Callithrix jacchus: one gene and its partner. The protein of the gene in region 1 purifies or fractionates together with the protein of each later gene. This does not show direct contact. Links are inferred from orthologs where the notes say so. Each region holds a gene or a part of one and is shown on either strand. Other genes may lie near its edges.

Region 1 (3,749 bases):
TTGTCTTATTCCTTCCAAAAGGCAAATTGTAGAAGCAACTTAGTTTTGAAAGCTAAACCGTAGGAATATTTTAAATACTATACTCATTAAAATGCAACATTAGATATATTTACTGGGCTCCAAGAGCAAGAGGGCAAAATTATTCCCTAAAATACATTTTGCCAAGTTGCCCAAGGTGGAAACATTGACAATATTCCTTCCCTTACCTCCCACCAATTCTGATTGATTCTAACTCTGAAAAGTCTGTTAAATCATTTCCTAGTCACTATTACCAATGCCAAAGCCCTGCCTAAAGATTTCAATGTCTTTCACCCAGACTACTGTTTAGTTTCCTAGCTGGACTCACTGCCTCTGGTCTATTCTTACTCAAATCATTCCCTACTCCAATCTAGCACCAATTATGACAACCAAAATGTCTCCACCATTGCCAAATATCTCCTGGAGGTCAAAGTTGCCCTGACTGAAAACCACTGCTTCAAGCTGATCCTACAAGAATATCACTTATTTGGTAAGATTCTGGCCACGATCTATGTCAGTGACACAGAAACCAAAAAAACTAACCAACATAAGGTTGAAATTTAAAACCTTAACCTTCGGACTGCCATGCTTAAACAAAATTAGCTGACGCCTCATAAAAAGAGCCGTAATACTCTTAAACTCCTTTGAACGTATAGATTTAAAACATCTAACTTTAAACCTCAATTTTGAGAAGTCTGTACCTACTGTCAAAGTTTAACCACACTATATACATATTTAAGCTTCTGGATATTAGAAAATTATGCCAATTTTTAAAAAGGACTTTGTGCTTTAATCAATCCCCCTCACAGGCTGAAACTAGGAAACTTCTTAGGCAAATTCCTGCCTACATTTAGGTTTGCAAGCCACTCTGAACAGTATTCTCATTAAATATCTCCAGAAAAAAACGAAAAACACACAAATTCTTATGCTTGAAAACCAGTACTTTTTTCTTTTAAATCACACTCTTTTAAAATTTCTCACAATGGTTATGTCACTAGAAAACTTACTCAAAGACGTAGTAGTGATACAATACCTTTCTGAGGAGGTAAGACATCTAAAAAACTTGGAACTCTAAAGGCCAGACCGAGCAGAGTAGCCATATCACAGGAAAAAGCACCTGCTACCAAGACATCCAGAGAGCGAACAATCCGTCCAGACGCTTACCTTCAGGCGTTTGATCATCTCGTCCGTGGTGATCTTGTCGGTGATCTCTTTTACACCCGGAGGGTAAGCGATCTTCCCGTCGGCACTCACGACGCCACAGAGGGCAGTGGCAGGCTTGGGCTGCGCGGTGAAGTCCATCCTGGGGGACAACTTTTCGTTCACAGTCCTCTACCGGCCTCTATCGGTCAGAAAACCAAAGTTCAGCGGGAAAGGGGCGACTTTCTAACCTCTTTTTTCATTTCAAATCTCTCTAATCTGGAAAAGGCTCTTTCTCCCCGGAGGCCGGGGACCCGGCAGCGGCCCCACCACCCGCTTTTTCCCGGGGCTCGGACCCCGCCAGCGCCGGCCCAGCCAGCCCGGGGCTCACTGGGCTTCCCGGTACCAGCCGCCGCGGCCGCGGGAGACAGCGAACAGCGCCAGGAGTTTACCTTTCCCCCTTTCACAATGAAATCCACCCCCGAGCACCAAGGTCCGAAGTTTGGCGGCCTCAGGAGGTTGATAAGGACCCCAAGGCCCCCACTTGGCTGGAGGGAAGCGCCGAGTCCCGCCCGACTAGTCCTCTCCAGGAAAGCAGACGCGAGGCCTATAGGGCTCGGCTTAGGCCGCAAAACTAGGGACCGAGCGGACCCACGCGCAGTGGCGGCTCCCGGGAACAAAACGCCCTTGCCCAGCCGAGCCTCGGACTCCGGGCAGTCCCCGCCGCGCTGCCGCCCCTCCTCGGTTCCGCTCCCTCACCCCCGCGGGAGGGGAAAACAAGCCGCCCTCCACCCCCAGCCCCACGCCAGGAAGCGGCTGACGCGGCTCCGCACTTCACATTTTGTTCCTTCAACTTCGGCTGAGGGACCCCAACGGCTTCTCTGGCTCCCTGCCGCTTGGCGCCGCCGGCACCGCCGAGGCCTTCCCCGCACCCCCGGGCGGCCCCACCGGGCCTCGGACCCACGGCCCCCCCTCTGTCTCTCCTTCCGTCCCCTCCCTCCAGCAGCCGAGGGCGGGAGCCGAGCCGCCGCCGCCGCCTTTACCTCCTCCTCATGCGGGCGGAAGGTGCATCGAGCGCCCGGGCCTCTGTCAGGTGGTTGCGCCGCCGCCCCTCGTCGGGTTGCACACAAAGCGGCTCCGCGGGTCCCGCCGCCGCCACCCGCCCGCCCGGGAGCGGCGCTGGGGCTGGCGGTGCCGAGGAGCAGCCGCCGCGGGGGGAGACGCGGGGCGAGTGAGCGCTGGGCGGGGAGACAGTGCCGCTCTCCGTCTGGCCGAGGAAGAGCAGCCTCCGAGAAGGCTCCTCCGGGAGCCTGTGTGCGTGTGTCCGCTCGGGACCCCCGCAGCCCGCCCGCCCGCACCTCGCGCCGGCCCGGGTAGCCGACTCGGACCCGGACGCCCCTCGCAGTGGCGCGCGCCCGGCAGTCCGTGCCCCGGGAGCCGGCGCCTCGCGCACACACCGGCCGGTCACGCGAGTGGCGCGAGAGCACGCGAGAGCAGTGCGCGCTCCTCGCTCCCTCCCCTTCCTCCGCCGGCCGTGCATCCGCCTCCCTCGGGCCCGAAGCGGCCGCGCGCAGGGCGGACAGCGCCGCCACCCGGTTGGCGCCAAGACCTGCCGCGCTGGGCGCCTCGGGGAGGACCCGACCCGACAGGGCCTGGAGAGGAGGAGCCCGGGTGGCGGGAAGCGAACCCAGGTTCCCGCGGCCCCGCGACCCTGCGAGGGCACGCAGGGCAAACAGCGCTTTATCTTCCGCCGCGGGGATGAGCTGGTGACTTTTGGGGGTCATCATGAGGGACGTAGACGGAACTGGTTGGAAGATGGTTAATTGCTTGGTGAAAATGAAATGATTTCCGCCCCAGGGAGAGATCTGCAAAGTAAAGGAAAGTTGTGCAACCCGGCACTGCGTGAGCGGCTCACTCTCGGGTATTCTGACAGTCTTTCGAGTTACCCACCCTCCTTCGATTTCTGAAGTTAGCATTTTGAAAGCTGCAAAACATGAAAATAGCATTGCTTCGAGTCGTTCTCAAGGTATGTCTTTGGGCCACCAGGCCTCACAATCACTTTGGGTACTGGCTGAAAACGTACGTCTCCAACTTCAAACATTAAAAAAAAAAAAAAAGGATCTCTGAGAGTGGAACGCAGAAATAAGCATTTACTAATTAGGTGGGTGCTTCTCAATAAGAAAGAACTCATTTTTTTTTTTTAGTGTTTTAAACTTACCAAGCATTAACGTTTTCTGGCATCCAAAGGAAAACAACTATCAGTTAAAAACAGTGCACACAGCAGTGTTTAAGCAATTTAATGTATATAATTGAAACAAACGCAAGAACATACAATTATTTTTTTTAAAAATTAAAAGGATACACAAAATTTCCGAAAAGGATACAATAATATGAAACTGACCACTACCATAGTTTAAAATGATATTTGACTGTTTATTCAAATTATTCTTGATGGATACCCATTGGTCTATTTTTTCTTTTTCTTTTTTTTTCCAGGAACATGTGCACTTTATTGAACACAACTGTGGAAAAGTGTGTGAGGTTAAAAGGCTGATACAGGGTCGGCTGGGGGCAGGGCGAGGAATGGAAGC
Region 2 (3,649 bases), on another chromosome or scaffold:
AGTGTTCTACCATCTATAAAATGGCTAAAAACCATTAAATATGAAAGGCCAAAAAATAAAGACCAAAAAGGAAAAAAAGGCCAGGCGCAGTGGCTCATGCCTGTAATCCCAGCACTTTGGGAGGCTAGAACGGGCAGATCACCTGAGGCCAGGAGTTTGAGACCGGCCTGGGCAACATGACGAAACCCCATCTGTACTAAAAATACAAAAATTAGCTGGGTGTGGTGGCACAAGCCTGTAGTCCCAGCATCTGGAAGCCTGAGGCAGGAGAATCGCTTGAAGCAGGGAGGCAGAAGTTGCAGTGAGCCAAGATGGTGCTACTGCACTCCAGCCTGGGTGATGGTGAGAATCCGTCTCAAAAAAAAAAACAAAAAAAAACAAAAAAAGAAGTATGTTCATTAGGAAATTCATGAAAACAACCACAATATTAAAGGGTTGATTCTTAAACCCAAACTAAGGTGAATATTTTGCACACCTTACTAGATACAATACTCTTCCTGAAAAAGTCATTTCAACTTACCAGCACTCGAATATCAAATCTCTGCTCCTGAGGTAGGTACTTTGGAACCTGAAGCACACAGTTTAACGCTGTGCCTATGAGACCGTCCTGCTCTCCTGTTTTGGTGCTGCCCCACTCTGAAATAAGAAATGGATATAGGAAAATTGTTACTGATTCTGCCTTAGGACAGTAATAACAGATTTATTAACATGGATATTAACTTAGGATTGTATAGTCATTCCTCTATTGAAACATACTGTTGATACTTCCAGGTCAAGATACTAGGCTTATAGAAATACCAACTCTTAAAAGTGATTTTTAAACCTACACATAAGTACATTAAGACAAATAAAAAAAATCACTACACCAAGAAAAGGAGAAACAAAAAAAAAAATAACTTGTTTTCACATGCAACATACATCTTTCAATGAGAAAAAAAATGGAAAAAAATCTTACCATTATCATTAGTTAAATTGAGCAACACCCCAATGATGGCCCTCATGCAGTCCTCTACTGCTTTGCCCACATGGTTAGTTACATTCTGGTGAGGCAGAGGCTTACTGTCAGCTAAGCATATGCTGTCCTCAGCGCGGTTGTACTGCTGAATCAGTTCTTCACAATGTTGTAATGCTCTTAAGAGAAAATAAAATATAGACTATTATAGTAAATAATAGGTACACAACTTATTTCTATTTACTTGAACCTAAAGGCTATCAGATAAAACTTCCCTTTATTTTGGAAAAACCTGATACCTTAAAAAAACTACCCAAGGAATGTTAAAAATTAAACACTAATGGCAGAAGTTTTTATCTGTGCTACCTACATTTACTCTAGTAATCTCTTTATTTCCAAGTTGTCTCACATGTTATTGATCTCTTCGTCAGACAGAGCACAACCCTTTCTCAAACAGGGAAAATGGTTAAGAGCTAATGTTGAACACTTCTGAGGTAGTAAATGTTATTGCCATTATTACACAACAAATGTTAATGTAAAGACAAGTATTAATACTTCATATGCATTAGAGCAAATAATTATTATCTTAACTATCAATGTTACAGTATAATCATTATTTTTTAATTGAAGGTCAAGCTGACATGTCTCCTTGCCAGTTATCCAAGGGGATGAGCTACATCCAAGTATTCTCAAGATACTACCCAAAATAACAAGGAAATATAATCCCTAAATGGGTCTAGTATTTCTAAAGATGCTGTTTAAATCACCAACTCCACTATTTTTAAGTTTAATACAAATCAAGTAAGCGGTCTCTGTCAGTTGATTCTTCATGCATTATGTAAAATGATACAAGATTCTTAAAAAAATCATATCTAATCTAGGCCTAGTTGCCCTTTAAAACATACTGAGGAAATTCTGTAAAGGTTTCCTAATATTTTACAACCCTTTGGTCAGGAAGGTGTTCCTCATGTGTAACCTAAAATAATTTGTACTTCTGGTATTGAATGCTTGTCAGGATTACCATACTGCCATTGGTAACTCAACTGTTTTTAGACTGAGCTAAACTAGGGCTTTGAAGATAAAAGGAGGTTCAGCATATGTTATTTAATCTTTCTGTATGCTACCCCTGCATTGATCATGGTTTCTGCTGAAAAGCTTAAAATCTAGAGATGAGTGCTCTTTTACAAACAATTCTGACCTCTACCGTCACTTCCAAGACATTTGGTCTGAACTTCCTAATCATAACAAAAGAGCTAAAATGTGTCATATTAAATACTTCCATTTACAAGGCACTTGTTGGAGAGAATTAAGTATACATAAGAGATATTTTTAAATCAGAAACAACATATACAATTTTTATTTGTCAATTTAAAAAAGAAAATGAAATCAGAAACATTTAACTTCAATAATCTTTGGTAAGAAAGGGTAAAACATGGTAGCAAACAAGCAGAATGCATGTGGTAAGAGCACTAACTATATAGGCAGGGCATAGTTCATGCCTATAATCCCTACACTTTGGGAGGTCAGCGTGGGAGGATCACTTGAGCCCAGGAGTTTGAGAACAGCCTGGGCAACATAGCAAGACATTGTATCTATTTTTTAAAAAAGAATGCTAAATATATATATAAAATAGGCCAGGTATGCCTATGATCCCAGCACTCTGGAAGGCTGAGGAGGGTGGCATTACCTGACGTTAGGACTTTGAGACCAGCCTGGCCAACATGGTGAAACCCCATCTCTAATAAAAATACAAAAATTGGCTGGGTGTGGTGCATATGCCTGTTGTCCCAGGTACTCAGGAGGCTGAGGCAGAATTGCTTGAACCCAGGAGGTGGAAATTGTAGTGGGCCGAGATCATGCCACTGCACTCCAGCCTGAGCGACAGAGACTCCATCTCAGAAAAATAAATAAATAAAAGCAAAATATACCATTGAAAAATACAAAATGTAGAAATGCAATCAAGTCCACAAATGCTCTGGAGGAAGACAAAAAAAAAATGTACAAATGCAAGACAAAAAAAGGAGATTTAAAAAACCTATAGATTAAGAAATCTATTGAGACTAGAAATTTGAGATTACTGAAAATTAGAATATTGACTAAACATAAAATAGTAAGCAACTAGATAATCAATAGTATGAAAATAGTATTGGGTTATATTTTTTAAAAGTCATTTTCTTTCAGACATTGTATACTTAAGTATTTATGGATGAAATGATAATATCTGGATTTGCTTCAAATAATACAAGAGGGGGAATGGATGGGGTTATAGATGAAAACCAGACTGGCCATGACTGATAATGTGTACATAACAGCTTATTACACTATTTATATTTGAAATCCTCTAAAATAAGAGGTTAAAAACAGATAAATCAGAATAAGACTGCAATGGGCCTTTGCAAAAGGCCGACTTCCTGTAATAAGAAAGTTGCACATATATCCAAAGACAATAAGCAATCAGAGATTTGGGAAAGTTAACTTCATGTATTACTGTTCTAGGCTAAAGGCCAGAGAAGTAGGGCAGATATTAAGAACTAGGACAAAGATATCATGAAGAGGCTGCTGTAATAAGATAGAACCAGGACTGGAGACATAGTTGGAAATTTTACCTGCACAGAGGTGACAGCATTAGCCTAATTGTGATGAAATATGTGTGGGAACAAAGAATGTGGAATAGAAGTTATATACAGATATGGAAAA

What was found. The genes of interacting proteins can lie anywhere in the genome.
Region 2: the proteins of PDS5A (region 1) and WAPL purify together in Homo sapiens (affinity purification with mass spectrometry; 6 studies listed by BioGRID and IntAct, with this or other methods). This does not show direct contact. The link is inferred for Callithrix jacchus from reciprocal best matches to the Homo sapiens genes PDS5A and WAPL.

The regions. Positions count from the first base shown.
Region 1 is NC_133504.1:153,856,713-153,860,461, reverse strand, and holds the start of PDS5A (sister chromatid cohesion protein PDS5 homolog A), read right to left. Parts: upstream 2,648-3,749; 5' UTR 2,536-2,647; coding exon of another isoform or gene 1,321-2,535; coding exon 1,183-1,320; coding exon of another isoform or gene 1,064-1,182; intron 1-1,063. Other genes in the region: uncharacterized protein LOC144581690, read left to right, coding at 1,064-2,535. UniProt on the Homo sapiens protein: Probable regulator of sister chromatid cohesion in mitosis which may stabilize cohesin complex association with chromatin. May couple sister chromatid cohesion during mitosis to DNA replication.
Region 2 is NC_133513.1:43,580,201-43,583,849, reverse strand, and holds part of WAPL (wings apart-like protein homolog), read right to left. Parts: intron 1,132-3,649; coding exon 956-1,131; intron 637-955; coding exon 521-636; intron 1-520. UniProt on the Homo sapiens protein: Regulator of sister chromatid cohesion in mitosis which negatively regulates cohesin association with chromatin. Involved in both sister chromatid cohesion during interphase and sister-chromatid resolution during early stages of mitosis.